3 linked regions of the Saccharomyces cerevisiae S288C genome follow. Changing the gene in region 1 together with any one later gene gives a genetic interaction. Each region holds a gene or a part of one and is shown on either strand. Other genes may lie near its edges.

Evidence for each region. A genetic interaction does not mean that the proteins touch.
Region 2: mutations in ELP4 (region 1) and URM1 impair growth when combined (synthetic growth defect), as found in Saccharomyces cerevisiae (4 studies listed by BioGRID, with this or other methods).
Region 3: mutations in ELP4 (region 1) and TUS1 are lethal when combined (synthetic lethality), as found in Saccharomyces cerevisiae (2 studies listed by BioGRID, with this or other methods).

The regions. Positions count from the first base shown.
Region 1 is NC_001148.4:357,870-362,079, reverse strand, and holds ELP4 (Elongator subunit ELP4), read right to left. Parts: upstream 1,872-4,210; coding exon 501-1,871; downstream 1-500. Other genes in the region: ATG21 (Atg21p), read right to left, coding at 1-208; FMP30 (N-acetylphosphatidylethanolamine-hydrolyzing phospholipase D), read left to right, coding at 2,674-4,080. UniProt on the Saccharomyces cerevisiae protein: Component of the elongator complex, a multiprotein complex which is required for multiple tRNA modifications, including mcm5U (5-methoxycarbonylmethyl uridine), mcm5s2U (5-methoxycarbonylmethyl-2-thiouridine), and ncm5U (5-carbamoylmethyl uridine).
Region 2 is NC_001141.2:339,953-344,190, reverse strand, and holds URM1 (ubiquitin-related modifier URM1), read right to left. Parts: upstream 1,656-4,238; coding exon 1,356-1,655; downstream 1-1,355. Other genes in the region: YIA6 (NAD+ transporter), read right to left, coding at 1-129; NAS2 (Nas2p), read left to right, coding at 535-1,197; long-chain fatty acid-CoA ligase FAA3, read right to left, coding at 2,763-4,238.
Region 3 is NC_001144.5:979,927-988,172, forward strand, and holds TUS1 (Rho family guanine nucleotide exchange factor TUS1), read left to right. Parts: upstream 1-2,967; coding exon 2,968-6,891; downstream 6,892-8,246. Other genes in the region: TDA5 (Tda5p), read left to right, coding at 7,136-7,215, 7,287-8,187. UniProt on the Saccharomyces cerevisiae protein: Guanine nucleotide-exchange factor (GEF) for RHO1 that stimulates the exchange of RHO1 GDP-bound form into GTP-bound form. Required for signaling of cell wall defects to RHO1.

The sequences.
Region 1 (4,210 bases):
AGCCATTAGTTATTAATATGCTCTCCTCATTATTCCGTGATTCTGAGTTTGAAGCTGAACCGTTATTGTTTGAAGTCTTCTTCTTGGAATTCTTAGTGTCAATTTCAAAACATTTACCAAAGGGGTCGCAGTTAAAAATCGAAATCTGATGCGATGACGCGGCCACCACACAGCACGTTGCATCTTGATTGAATTGTAATACTTTCATATCCTTTTCTATCTGTCTATTTCAAATCCAAAGGAGTGGAATTGTCTTTTGTTGGTCAAATTCTTTCTGCAGCTCACGCTCCTTTTTTGTTAATATTCATTTCACTTTTTCATATTTTGACATCTAGGCGATACCTTTTTCTACCTTCCAGCTGCCACCGCTTAGAGTCAGGAAAAAGACGATGGATATATATATAATAGTCGTATTTAAGATATAACAGATAAAAAAATAATACATTCACCACGCTTGTTAAAAAGCATGCCGTATATTTCCCATAAATTGAACCATATTCTTAATAGTCTAAAGATATCTTGGTCTTCTTTGCAGGTATATTATGTGAGATTTCATCCGAGTGCGAGTGTGAATGTGACTGTTCCGAGGCAGCTGAACCTTCAGCATCATCCACGGGTATGCCCCATTGTTCTATTTCAAACTTTTTTCTGCCATTCTTAAATGCCCATTCAGACTTTAAAACTCTCATCTCTCCACGGTCCGTGAAAACTGGTAATTTCAATATGTGGACTAGCCCATGTTGAATCTTCCCCGGTTGCGATTTATAAACACGTTCTAAGAACTCAGTCATCTCCTGGTTAAAGGGTTCTAGATTGATAACAGAATCGAACATGTTTCTCAGCAATACCAGTAATGGGGGAGTGATAATGTCTATGGATATGGAAGCAAACAGTACAACCCGCTCATAGTATTTCTTGACAAGACTCCTCACACCGTGCATTAAACCTATTATTTCAGATGATTCAAACATTTTGGGCGGATACATTGCCGGATGTAGAAGGGAAGGAATAACAATTCTTATCAGTTTCTTGTCATTCCTTTTAATAGTCTGTTCTATTTGGCTCAAAATAGTGGAGACAGGTTGAGTTGGGGCGATAAATGTCAGTTCAGATGCTATGGGAGCGGGCATCAGACGCGTTGTAATATCAAACTGATGATTGTAGTCCTTGTACTCAGAATTTTGTTGGATGTCATCTCGATCCGGAGAACCCAATCTCTTTTCATCTGCCAGTTTATATTTCCATGCAATTTTCAGGTCTTTGTACCTGGAAGGCGTCGATCTCTGGGTCTCGTTCAAATTTTGAACAGTAACTTTTGATTCTTCTTCAGAGATTAGGTTTTTCTTCATTTGTTTACGTGATCCCTTGTAGATACCAGGTAGCTCCTTTGCAAACATTTGGTTCAATGACAAGACAATGACATGAGTGTCGCCGTTTCTAGTTTTATCAGCACTGCTATCTGAAATTCTATTATGAACGATACCCTGTGCGGCAAACAGTTTACCGAGAATAGAGTGAAATTCTGTCGTGCTCTGCTCCTCTACTAGTACAGAGTTTCCCAGCGGCAGCCCCATATGGCCTAGTATACTGTCCAGGTCAGCACTCCCAGTTGATGTCGTCGGCTGAGAGGTTGCAGGAGAAGGTCTAACGCCCACATGGGAGCTATCCAGCCCCATTTTTGTCTTGGATTCGTCCGCAATATTCAACTTCTTTAATCTCGCTGTAGTGTCAGACAAGGGCACATTTCCAGGGGCTCTTCTGTTGCCTGTCCTCAATGGCGTTGAGGAAGTTCGTGGAGGACCTCTTAACAGTGGACCTCTTAGCCCGCTACCTCTATCGTTCAGTATTTCACCTCTTTTACGAAATGACATGGTACATGCGATATTTGGGAGCCGAATTTGTTATACAATGTTGTTCTCTGCACCTCATCTCTAAACTATCCAGCCTCATCGACATCTTCATATGTCGTTTTTGTTATTTTAACAGTTTAGAGTTCATTCCATGCGCTTTACCCGGTCTGGCGTCAAAAGCCATCAATAACATAGCTACTATTGCGTCTGAGAGAAGTCGACCATAGGGAAGAACTTGCCATCTGGTTTTGAGTTAGTTAGAATTATCACTATTGAAGATAGCCCAGCAAAATGCTTGTGCAAGAAAGCACATCGTCTAGTGGCCTTTTTTGAAGAAAGAATTGGAACTACTTTAGAAATACATTTACCACAGTGAGTATATGACACTGATATTCTCCTTGATTATCGCCCAAAATACATTGTAGGCTTCAAAAAGATTAAAATATCAATTAAAAGAGAGAGAATAAATAGGTTAAGGCCCAAATTACAATAGCGGCCTCCTATTTGTCTTTTCCATTCGATGCGATATTTATCAGTATTATATGAGAACAAATGGTGGTATTATAAAAAAAAAATATTATAATGAGATATATGTCTGATTTTAATAATAAACTTTTTAGCTAATGATTCCTTCTGCGTTCATTTTCTGAATATTATCAACAGCTGCTAGTTTTTTTTTTCCTTTACTGTCGTTAAGCAGTTCCCGAAGACTCACTACTGATGCTTAACAAAAAAAAAAAAACGTAGTTCGAGAATAGCGAGAATATGGTGTGAACAGTAGCACTCCAATTACTGAAGGATTGCATGCCTGCTTGTGTTGCAAATGAATTTTGTTACCTGCCATGTTCAGATGAGGCTTCTTCTCCAAAGGAGACTAGTGCGTTTACGAGAATCAGAGCTGTTTAGACCCCAGACATCATTGTCAACTTTCAAAAGACATGCTTCGCAAAAGACACGCCCTATACAAAAATGCTCGAGAAAATACGCACGTATACTTCTGTTGTCTGTTTTGGTACCTTACACAGGATATGCGTTTTATGTATCATTGGCTACAGTGAAGCAAATTGATTTAAGAAACGAAATGTGTCAAAGATTAGAGGAGAATAATAACGAGGTCACTTATAAGGGATCCTTGCTAAAATATAGCCCTTTGGAAGTTTTAGGCAGATTTGAGAACCCGTTCGAAGAATACAGGATTCAGACCGTTTTTGAATTCTTTGCAAATAGAGTGTTCGAATTATTTGAAAGAAATAGGGGAGGTATTCCACGTGATGTACACCAAATGAATAAGTTAATGCCTGTACACAAGCCAACATGGGGGCCTAACTTAGTGGACGTCGACCCCGCAGAGGAAACGGCATTGCCGCTAGAATGCAAAGTGTTAGACGAATTGCACATACCGACTGCAGTAGAAGAAAATGAAGGATCAAAGTGCCCAGTCTATAACACATGGCTGGGCCAGTCCTGTAACTACACGGTTTATAATGGATTGAGGATACTTACTGATCCTCTGTTCAGTGACTTTCTTATCCACAAGACCCTGGGTCCTAAAAGAATTACTCAAATGCCATCTCAAATTACAGAGGTGCCCAAACCAGATATCATCCTTGTATCCCATAATCACCCCGATCACCTGGATTTAGAAAGCTTGGAATACTGGAGTGGCAAAGACTCTCCCTTATGGATAGTACCTAAAGGAATGAAATCTTATATGACAAGTAACGGCTGTGATAATGTCCTAGAATTATCTTGGTGGGAAACTTTGCAAGTAAAGAAAAACAATGAGATATACCACATATCGGCTACTCCTGCCATGCATTGGTCTGGGAGATCGCTCTTAGATACGAACAAGTCTCTATGGTGCTCCTTTTTATTAACACACCATGGTAATCCCATACTTTTTCATGCTGGTGACACTGGATATGTGAAAGATTTATTCGTTAGAATTAAAGAACGCTTTGGCAAAGGTTGTAAATTAGCGCTGCTTCCATGTGGTCAGTATTGCCCTGAGTGGCACCAAAAACCACGACATATTAATCCTCAAGAGGTTCTCAAGATTATGAAAGATCTAGAAGCTCGAAATGTATTAGGCGTTCATTGGGGGACCTTTGTATTAAGCGGAGAATATTTCTTAGAGCCAAAGGAAAAATTAGAAATGTTGGCCGAGTGGGGTGGGTTTAAAGACCGCTGCTACTGTCCAGAATTGGGCAAGACAGAATGCTTCGACTAACTTAGGCGCTAATATTTAAGCTGCAGCGTCCCTGTAAATAGCGATAAATTACAGTAAACGTAGACTTTGGGAGATTGTACTCACTGAACATTTTATGATTTAATGATTTTGTAATTTAAAAACATTCGTA
Region 2 (4,238 bases), on another chromosome or scaffold:
TTGGGAGGAATGATCAGGGAATATCAATTGTTCTTCATGCAACAACAGTGGCTCTTCATGGTCTGCAGAGCAATACTGCTGCTCGGGCAGTAAACCGCAGTTGGGGACAGGATTATCAGTCTGTGTCATTGTGCTAAAGACTGCTGCCTTCAGTGTTGATCTCACTACTATTACGGTTGGCAGTCTGTAGTAGAGATTCTTTTCAGAATTCGATTAAGCACTAGGCCGGTGGGTAACCCCTAGAAATTGGTGCTATTGGACCATATTATGAGAGTCATTTAAAGGGCCCTTCGGGCTGGCTCACATAAAGGTTGGGATCTATGACCTTTATCAATACGGATCTTACTACTGGCTATTCATTAATTCTCGAAATTTGCTGTCCCTTGCGTGCGCCGTGGATTGTGTTCGATAAGGCTTACTTTATAACGGTTGGAATATTGGATAATAAAGGGAAAAAAAATGTTCAGCATTGAGAGATAGAAAAGTTATCACCAGAGTAAAAAGGAGCAAGAATTAGAATAAGAACGAACTACAATGGAGGAAGAAGAATTAAGTAAATTGTTGGCCAATGTTAAGATAGATCCGAGCCTAACATCAAGAATTAGTCAAATAGACAGCTTCAAACTGTCGGAATTGATGGTTCTAAAGACAGATATTGAGACACAACTAGAGGCGTATTTCAGTGTGCTTGAGCAGCAAGGCATCGGCATGGACTCTGCGTTGGTGACGCCAGACGGGTATCCTCGTTCGGATGTCGATGTATTGCAAGTCACTATGATCAGAAAGAATGTTAATATGCTGAAGAATGATTTAAATCACCTTTTGCAAAGATCACACGTCTTACTAAACCAGCACTTTGATAATATGAACGTTAAGTCAAACCAAGATGCAAGAAGGAATAACGACGATCAAGCTATTCAGTATACCATCCCTTTTGCATTTATCAGTGAGGTAGTACCCGGTAGCCCTTCAGATAAAGCAGACATAAAGGTTGATGATAAGCTGATTTCTATTGGTAATGTGCATGCGGCAAACCACTCTAAACTTCAAAACATTCAGATGGTTGTAATGAAAAATGAAGACAGGCCACTTCCCGTCCTTCTCTTGAGAGAAGGGCAAATCCTAAAGACATCGCTAACACCTTCGAGAAACTGGAATGGTAGAGGTCTTTTGGGTTGTAGGATACAAGAGCTATAATCTTCGTCATGTACTAAAAAAAACCAATCCAGTTATTACTATTACTTTTTATACTATCTGCATATTACCTACGTTATCTAACTTGTGATTCATTCAAGCTGTACAGCACTTTATATATATATATGTAGCTGCTTCTTAAAAATTATTTGCTGCTATTTTTAACCACCATGTAATGTTGAAGTAAAAGAGATGATGTCACCGTCTTCCAATATGTAGTCTTTTTCGCCTTCGAGCTCCCAATCGGTGTCGTTGATTAATGTGATGATACCGGGTCTTATAGAATCATCTTCGATGAAGATACTAACGTCATTAGGGTTATTGATCATAGTAGATACAATGTGGTCAATCAAATCGCCCACTGTGACAGGATCTTCTTTGTCCATCTTAATTTTATGTACTCTTTGTTTTCCAAAAATAGCATCAAGTCCACCTAGAAACTCCACTTTCACGTTTACCATCCCGATTTTGCTATTAACCTATCTCGTTTTAGTATCAGAAATCAGTATTGTTTTCTGCTTTGGGAATTTTTGAGCTCTCCATACCGTCTGCCAGTAGTATTTCATTAGGTCGATGCGATGCCATTACTTTGTCGTTATATTTTTTCTGCCGAAGTGGGCGACAATGTAATTAAAAAAAAAAGTCTAAATAAGATTGAGAACTTGGGAAGGAACATAATCCGGTATGTGAAATCAATTGAATCTATCCTCTGTCTCGGTATAATATTATACAAGTTAGGAGAATAGTTATATATAAATATATGTGAACTTGTAGAACTGATGGCATTTGATGGCCGTCACATGGTACGCCACTAAAACCTTGATTAAGTAGATTAGATTAGACTAGCAAGTGTTGGTAACGTTTTGTAGGAAAGAGTCTCAAAGTACCCAGCGCCAACTTTTGCTAAAGTCAATCATAAAATATATGTTTTTAAAATATGTAGGTATGCCGTGCATTTTTATTCTTTTTTAATGTTTAGCTTTCAAAAAAGCTAAAATAAACCATAAGCGTTATTCTTATTATATTGATAGTAGAAGAGGAAGAGTGGTTATCTTTACTCAAATTAACGATTGCTTTTATTTCTTACATTAAGGTCGAAACTATTTGCTACTATGAAAGCCAAGCAGAAACAAACAAGACCTTATTAAGATTGATGTTTCAAGCTATGCATTCCCAATTCAGAAGAACAAGGGAAGAGCATAAGACGGCTATCTGCATTTAACAGTAGTGGTCACTCCTACAGTAGTCATACTTCTCAAGCCTACTTTCGGTATGGCTTTTAAAGTCATAAAATAACGAATAGTTCGTATACCGCTCATGTGGCAAACTCAATAGCAAAATGTGATTTCATATCACGAAGTTTTTTATATTTTTTAATTATACAATTGTAATTTGTATTACGGAAATGAAACATGTTTGTATGTTATGTAGTATATCAATAATTGATTTACCGCATCTGTAAAAGAGAACCATTTATCACGCACATAGTTTTAGTATTCACTAATCGGTGCTCTATGGAAGTACGAGACACCGTGCATAGATGGAAGGGGAAGGTAATAAGCTTCTCTCTAAGAATTTTCTTTGTAAACCCTTTCGACTTCTGATTTAACAGCGGCTAAGATTTCTCTTCTCTTTAATTTTTGAGCAGATGTGACAAAGCCATTTTCAGGTGTCCATTCTTCATCAAAGAAAACAATACCACATAATAGTTCAATACCAACCAAACCTTGAGATTTGGCTGTTGCGATCATCTCTTTGAAAACAGCATTTCGTAATGCTTTGTCATGGATATAGTTTTCGATGTCTTCACCCTTTTTCATAATACGCAATTTGACAGCAAATTTAGATAGGGGTCCTGGGTTGGGTACCACAATACCCACCGGTTTAACCCTACTTTCATCGGCATAAACACAGATATTTTTCACATAGGAGTTTGACCTGTAAACAGATTCTAACTTTTCTAATGCAATATATTCACCATTTAGGGTTTTAACCAAATTCTTTCTTCTATCAATAATTTTAAGTTGTCCCTTGGGAGTCCATTCAACAATATCACCAGTACGAAACCATCCATCGTAAGTGAAAGAGACCGCCGTTTCTATTGGATTCTTATAATATTCAGAACAGACCGGCGCACCCTTTAGAAGCAATTCACCTTGATTGTTTTTTGCATAATAACCTAGGTCCTTAACATCCACCAATTTGGCAGTGACCGATCCAACAAGATCACCAACTATACCATATTCGAAATGATCAGGCTCCAAAACACAAGCATTCGCAACTGTTTCAGTAAGGCCGTAACCGATAATCATAGGACACAGGACGATAGAAAAGAATTTCTGAGCATCAATACTGATCGCAGACCCACCGTTCATAATATACTTAAGATGACCACCGGTGGCTTGTCTGACTTTCTTGAAGACCATACGACTTAAAAACCCGGTGCATGGTACACTCTTTTCTTTCATACTATAGGCAGACCAAAAAATCTTTTGGAGTACGGGAGTTAAATCGCTGATCTTTTCCAAAATAGCTTTTCTCACAGTTTCCCAAACGGCAGCCACACCGATCATAATAGTAGGCTTAAACTCAACCAGGTCACCCTTACAATTACGAGTCGAAGTATTAGTCAAAGTCTTAACACTACCGTACCCAAGAATACCGTTCCAGTAAAAGGCTTCGAATTCAAAGACCAGTTCAAAAATATGAGCCAATGGCAAGAACGACAAAACACGGTCTGTAGAGCCGATCCATCCAAAGACGTTGTGACCTACACCAGCGATACCCGAAACAATATTATAATGAGTCAATACTACACCTTTTGGTGCACTGATCGAGCCCGAGGTGTACATGATACAAGCCAAATCTTTTGGCTCAGGTGGATGAAGTTTGACCTCATCTTTACTTTTTTTACCTATCTTGACAACTTCTTCAAAACTATAAATTTTTATGTCTGGCCTAACTTCTCTGATCTTATTAATGGCATCCTTAGCAGCCTTGTAAAGTTTGCCGTTTTGTCTTCTGTCATTGGGGTCGATAGGTTC
Region 3 (8,246 bases), on another chromosome or scaffold:
GGCATTTATAGGAATGTCTTGTTTTTGAGCATCGACTATGTTTATTTCAGAATTGGGTGTTGCATGGTGTAAATAATGGGCTGATCTGACAAGCGTTTGCGAAGCTCCTGAATCAATAAGAAGGTGATCAGGTAGTTCGTCATTCGAGTCTATTGTGCGTGTTGGCTTAGATTCTTTCTGTTGCTGGCCTAAGACTAAGTTCGTTGTCATCGCTTAAGTATTGTGATGAAACGGTTGATTCATTAATGTGATCATTGTTCACCCTTGAGAATTTACTGGATGTAGCAATATTGTGAGCTTTTGCTGCTCTTGGTTTTGAACTATTTGTTCTATGATAATTACGAGTTGTAACCTTCGTGTTAGTCGTGTTTGGAGATGTGCGAGAAACATTTTTGTATTCGCTGTGTTGTTTGTATTGGGACGGTTTATTTAGATTCATGATTTTATTTTCGTCATATATTAATTGAATTTCAGCGAATAATTGGGAAAGTTTCATGTTCGTTTTGGTACGATATTGATTACGTAGGTATTTGAAATCACCGGATAGACCTTTAAGTATTAGTTGACAGGCCAATCTGTCGCTAACATTGATATTGTTTTCTTTTAGCCTTTGAATGATCGTGCTGACTGTAATTTCAAATGTATCAGCAGATGTACTTCCGTTGTACTCAAGGTTGGCAAGAGCTATCCAATCTTTTAATTCTTGATTGTTAGTTTGCATTTTGGACACACTTTTACAAAGGACAGTAAGGATGTCAGAATAATTAATTTCTAAAATTTGTTTTACCCATGTTGGCAATAAATGAAATGGGGCAAATGCTTGGAAGGTATTGTATATATACGCATGTTCTTCATAAGTCATTTGTCTTTTGATTTCACCCTGGTCATTTGGAATAATGTCACCGAGATTAGAGTTCTTCAAAAATCTGATGTAAAATTTAACCCATGTAGAAAAGTTTTCTTCTGATGTTAAAGTGTGTGGTGGTAAGACATTATTTCTCACCTTTGTCTTAGCTTGAGGTACTTCAGAGTGTTGATCCTGTGAATCGATTGGATCAGGTGAGGAAGTACTCAGCGGTGGGATATACTGTGGCAGCGGATAGTGTGGGTCCGGTTGATAATACGCAGGTGACGTTTGATAATGTGAACACGTCATCATAGATGGTTGTTGGTAATGTGCCCAGTTAGAAGCCATAGCTTTGTTTGGGGTCATCATGCCGTGCTGTTGGTACTGTCCATTCTGTGGAGGTGGTACTGAAGCAGGTTGAGGAGAGACATGATGATGGTTCTCTGGAACAGCTGATGTCCCAGGTGTTGTCTCTTCTTGAGAATTAACCTTAGTGGAATCTCTATCAAATTCCGGTAAATTGGAAGCTGAAACGGCTAACGGATCTTGATTTGATGGGACTTCCTTAGAAGTAACCGAAGCATAGGCGCTACCATGTAGAGAATGTGGATTTTGATGTAATTGTTGGGATTCCATTGTGATTAAGGCTATAATATTAGGTATGTAGATATACTAGAAGTTCTCCTCAAGGATTTAGGAATCCATAAAAGGGAATCTGCAATTCTACACAATTCTATAAATATTATTATCATCGTTTTATATGTTAATATTCATTGATCCTATTACATTATCAATCCTTGCGTTTCAGCTTCCACTAATTTAGATGACTATTTCTCATCATTTGCGTCATCTTCTAACACCGTATATGATAATATACTAGTAACGTAAATACTAGTTAGTAGATGATAGTTGATTTTTATTCCAACAGGTTCACACGAAGATTGAAAGTGTGGCCACGCTAATTTAGTTTATTAGGGAAATGCTCCTGGTCAGTTCTAATTCACCCAACGTAGCGCGGAATATTTTAAAGTTAATATAGTATTTCGATATGACAAGCACCTCTAAACAAAAGGTTATTTTCGCTTTTGTTCATTGAGCGTGTACTTCAAGCCTGATCCTGCTTTTTCTTCTGATTTGATCTGATTCGATTAAGCAAGCGGTACTACCCTAAAACCGCCATCTGTTGTAATATAGTAACGTCGCAATAAACCTGTCATATAATTAGCAGCTAATCCTTATATTCCATCTCCTCAATTTGTGATATTTATCGTATATAATTCCCATTTCAGACCGTCATTTAGTAGTAGGCATCTAACTATGGAACGGCTTTACCCGATCTTGGTATGTATGCCATAATGTACTACCGCTATCGATTTACCTTAACCCTAACGAGTGTCTCTAGCCAGTATTTTAAACTTCCATATCACAACTAATGTTGAAGATTGTATAATAAAAACATCAAGCTATTTAATAGATGCGATTAATCTCCTAATCGAAAACAGTTTGTTCGGTGTCCAAATACTGTTTTAGTGGACTATGATAAACGTTATAACAGCTATTTTGACTAAAACAACCGTAAATTTACACAGATAGGTGTTCACAGTAATTTTTTGGGGAGTTAGGTCGAAATCTTTTCCAAAACCAGTCATGCAAAGGAAATGCGTCAACTTTTGGGGACTTTTCCCCTACTCAAACACAGTTAGTCAACATTTAAAGGTTGTGTCTTTACTTAAGAGAAAATTAACTGAGCTTCGGTCATACATACGTAATTTCGCTGCTTCCAGTCGAGCAGTTGGTGCGCTATAATCATTTGATGTTTTTAGCTTACGGCTTCTTAAGATTTTCTATTGTTCATACTGACTCGTCGCATAGGCCGCAATATAAATCATTTAGAGAAAACGTTAACACATCGTTTAGGTAAACAACCCCTAGAGAGGATGATCAGTACGCAATATAACTGTTCAAAATCCATTTCTTGCATCAATATTTTATTCAACTATTATTTCTGGAGGTTTTAGTGGTTCTGTATACCCCCTCCAGCCACTGTTATGAACAATTAATTGATACTACTTCGAATATAAACATTAAAACAAAAAACTTATTGAGTGCAGCAAGTTAACATGTATCGATATAATAGAAGTTCCCCTTTTGAACGAACACCAGAAAAACGAGTAAGCCGTCAAGAAAGCCAACGAAAGAGCATCGAATTGCCCAAACTGCCACCATTGAATACGAGGAACTCCTTTTTGGATGATTCTGATAACGGAACAGATAATATCTCAATTGGCTGGACACCAATCAGTGACACCCAGCAATTCCAAAGCCCGGTCCCTCAGGCTTTTACCTTTACATCAAAACATAGTGCAAGGGGAAACGGTACTAGCTCTTCAGAATCCACACCCAAATCGACAAAGTACGTCAAAGAAAGACGACCACCACCACCGCCACCCCTTTTGTATTCCACTGAATCAATACGGATAGACTCACCCATGGTATCTCCCAGTTCTCAGTCCCGGGAAAGATCACCTAATAAACTATCCTTTATAGGAAACTCAGAGGAACGACATCACATGGAATACATATCTAACCATTCCAGGATCTTAAAATCACCATTTGCGAACGGATTTAGTCCAAATTCCCCTAAATCTCCAAGAGATAGTAGCAAACAGCAGGCTCACTTCTCTGATGAATCAGATCTACGGTGTCATGAAAGAGAAAAAGCTTTACCCCCAATTCCTTTCACTACTACTCTTCTGCTATCTCCTTTTGATGATGAAGACTCAGAATTTTTTACGAAACCACCACCGCCTCTATCAACATCTAGAAACGTAAGTGGGAATAGCCGAGTATCAGAAGCCCTAGAAAGTGTTTATTCTGACTCAGATTATACTTTTAATAACTCAAATGCCAGGCAAAGTAGTTTTAACTCTTTACTAGGAGCCAAGCCATTAGAATTAGCACCAAGCATTACTGCACCGACACAACCATTTTCAATTCAATCTATCGATGAGCACAAGCTTTATCAATGTGATAATGTTTACAAACTTTCTGCTATTTATGAGTGGATTTTGAAAGTTTATTTTGAATGGTTTAATGAATGTGTCTTCACGAAAATCGATCTTTTCCAAATTGTTCAATTACTTTTAGAGTTTCAAATGCCTACAAATTTCGATCAAGATACGATAGACTCAAATGTGGATAATATTATGGCTTCGTTTATTTCCCAGAAAGCAGTAAGATTCGATATCATTAACGATGAAGAGGTAGCCGTAGTTGTGGGAGGGCTGGATATTACTGGTGTTTTCACCGAACTACTACCGTGCTATTCATTCATCGATAATACTTATGGATCTACAAACTCCCTGATTTGTTATTCCAACGTTTGCACACATGGCCAAAGCTCTGGCTTCAGAAAAGAAATAAAACTTTCCGAAATCATAAATAAATCAGTTGGACTTTGGACAGAATACTGGCACTTGACTCCAGATGATTTAGCAGAAATTAATCCCCGTGAAGTACAAAGACAAAGCTTTATATTTGACTTAATTATTTTAGAAGAAAGATCCTTAAACATGGCTACTGCCGCGGTAGAAATCTATGGGAAACGGTTTGACAAATCCCTACTTCCAGATGAGCCTGAGTTCAAGGCATTGGCATTTGATATCTTCGAACCTCTAATACAATTACATACCGAATTTCTTTTGACGCCAATATTTTGGAAATTAAAAACGAGAGGTAAGTTTATTGATGGCGTTGGAAAAATCTATTCAAAATGGTGTGGTGAAGCCAAGAATATATATTTGAATTACGCGAAAGCTATGGCAACGGTACACGAAATCATAATGTGGGAGAAGAAAAACAAGACGAAATTTGTAACATGGCTTAAGGAGATTGATAACTCGGTTGAAATTACAAGATCGAAGATGTATCATGATGTTATATTCTTTGGGGGGTTTTTCAAATCTTTACAAAACATGCCCGTAACTCTGCGCTCAATTTTGAAGAACACGGATCCTTCCATGGAGGATTATGAATACCTGAAAATAGTAATTAAGGAAGTAGAAAAGTTGAACTTTGAAGTTAATCAGGTACATGGATTAGCAATTGACCATAGGAAACTAGTAAGGTTTTCGAAACAATTAGTATTAAGTACTAATAGTAGTAATGCAACAAGCTATGTGAACGTCGGTGGTAGTACTAACGCAAATGACGATGATGCAATTCAGGATAAACTAGCTCTTGGTTTAACTTATCCGGAAAGGAAGTTAGTACTATCTGGCACTGTTTATAAAAAGAGGGATTTATGGCTGGACCCAACCCCAGTGTATATCGCATTATTGGACAATTGCTTACTGATTACAGAGGAAATAAGTAAAGGAGAAACTCAAAAATATAAGCTTATTGAAAGACCTATCCCAATAGATTATTTAAGTCTCGAGAAAAGGAAAATTCCAGGAACAAGTAAACAGCCTCTGAGAAACTACTCTCAGAAAGAACATAAATCCCCAATGCATAATTTTTCGACACCGATTAACTCCATGAGACCTCTGCTTAAAAGTTCTGGAAATCACATGTCAACAGCGTATGGAGATAGAAAGACTAGTAATACTGAAATTTCTAACGCGAATCCAAACACAGACGAGTTCTCATTTAAGATCAGAAATACAGCCACAGGTGAATCGTTCAAATTTTTTACAGAAAGTGCAGAAGTACTCAACCAATGGATTGATGCTATCATGGAATCTTTTAAAAGAAATGCAGAAAATCATGATTTAAATGCCTTTGAATTTACAGTGTTGAGCTCTGAGTTCGCATACTTCGACAAGGATGCACCGGTGAATCTACCTGTAGCTCCGGAAGGATCAGAAATTGATGTAGCACTCAAAGCTTACGCTCAAAAAGCAAACAAAGATTCATGTTCATGGAGTAAGACAACACGGATTCTTTGTTGTGAAGATGTTAAATTCGAGGGCAGAATTTACCTATTTGTGGCTACAACAGACGGTATCTATGTGAAATATAGAGACGATTATGGTAGTGGTTTCGTTAAAATATTAGAATTAAACGACGTCAAAAGAATGGAAGCCAATGTTAAGTTGGGGCTCTTGTTTGTATTGGATAACAGAAAGTTGTGCTATTTTAATATCTCAACGGTAGTGAGCCGTTACCTAGCGCAAGGAAACACTCTAGATGAAAACTGCATTGTGGGAACAGTAATCAGAGATAAGGTGAGATTCTTCAAAATTGCTGATGATTTTGGTAACTCAAAACATTTATTTTTTGAAAGAAAGGGGAAGATAGTTATATTAACACCAGAATTTGATCAATTGACAAACCAAGTAAAATATTTCAAATTTTACAAAGAGTATAAGCTCCCAAGTTCAAGTAATAACATTCTGAATAACGAAATTGAGGATATTGCCATATTCAGGAAAAGTTTTGCTGTGTGTACAAAGAAAACAGTCATACTTTATCAAGATTCATTCGAGGATAACGGAATAGTCTTACCATCTTTTTTGAATGATAAAGATATGATGGCACACTTGAGGCATCCACATTTGAATAGCTTACCGTTCAAAAGTGCTACAGACTCCAAGAAACGCCCCTCCATAGAATCTCTCACTGAAGAAGCAAAAAAGGATATCGCCACTTGCAAAGCTATACCGGTCAATTTTTTTCAAATATCACAATCTAGTTTTTTTGCCTTGGTTTATGATGAAGCCGTAGTGAAAATAAACTGCTACGGTGAGATGTCTGATTGGAGAAAGGATATTCTCTTACTTGATTTTTGTTGTACCGGCGCGAGCTTCCATGGTAATCATTTGATTCTCGTTGGCGACAATTTGATACAGATTTACGACTTAAAAAATGTTGAGCAGAACCTAGGCGAATTGGTTCCCGTCCAGATCATAAAAGGAAAGAAGATAAAGCTGGCTAGTTCAGAAAGGAGAGAGAAAACAATTCTTGTGTTAAGTCATCCAAATATACTTAATAGACAATTATTAGTCGCGTGCAATCCTGTAGCAATGGCAGATCATCAATAATATAAGATATAGACACTTTTAATGGTAAATATCGTTGTAATAATATAAGCCAACAAGAATATAGTCCAGTAATTATGCTATTTGCAGTAACTCACATCATTATTCTCTCTGTTCATATAATCCTGAATAACAGGTTACCCTCGGAAGTGCATTTAGCCGTATAACAAGTAGCTCTTTAAAATCAGTAGAACAGATACATTAATATGTGATAATACGGCTGTGAGGAAAAGGTGAAGTTCTGGTGATGAATATAGACTGTTTGTGTCGTTGGGTAGTTCTGCCACTGCTGCGCTATCCACTTCTGGTAGCTCTTGTATTGAGATGGTATGTAAAGTAGAAAATAGGCATGAGGTTAGAAACAGCGTTTTTTATACTAACATGACGAACTAACCTAGGTCTCTAAGCGACTCGATAAGCATTTGTCTAACAATCTATACACTACTGATAAATGCATTCCTCATTGCTAATTCCTATATAAAGCGGTCGGGACAGGTCGCCTGGAAGAGCCTTCGTGAATTTAAGAATGGCATAGTTCTTATTACTGGAGGAAGTAAAGGACTTGGACGGGCCATAGTATCTCAACTCCTACAAGACTACAGCAACCTGACCATCTTGAATGTCGACATATGCCCATCATCAGTGAGGAATACTCGCGTGAAGGATCTCATCTGCGACCTGAGTGATGATGAAGAAGTTGCAGCACTACTGAATTTGTTGAAAAGAAAGTATAAAAATGAAATCCGATTGATTGTGAACAATGCTGGAGTAAGGGCCAACTTCACCGGATTCAACGGCATGGAACGGGATAATCTTGATAAGATTTTTAAGATAAACACATTTGCACCACTTCAGTTCATTCAAGAACTGGCCCCTAGTAGACACTCAACTAGACAGTGTTATATTGTCAATATCGCAAGCATTTTGGGCATATTGACGCCGGCCAAAGTAGCAGCTTATGCGGCGAGCAAAGCAGCATTGATAGCCTTTCATCAGTCGTACAGTTTTGAATTGCAAAACGAAGGCGTAAGAAATATCAGAACACTATTAGTGACCCCAGGGCAACTGAATACGGAAATGTTTGCAGGATTCAAGCCTCCTCGCCAGTTCTTTGCCCCTGTAATAGACATTACTACTCTAGCTGCCAAGATAGTCCGTTATTGTGAGCTGGGTCAGAGGGGACAGCTAAATGAACCCTTTTATTGTAGTTTTGCTCATCTTTTGATGTGCGTACCTTATTCGCTACAACGCATTGTAAGAAGCTTCTCTCGCATAGATTGCTGCCTCCCGGACGAGTAGAAAGCTATACATAGTAAATAGAATATTTATAGATGAATCCGAGTAGACAGCCTTGGTGT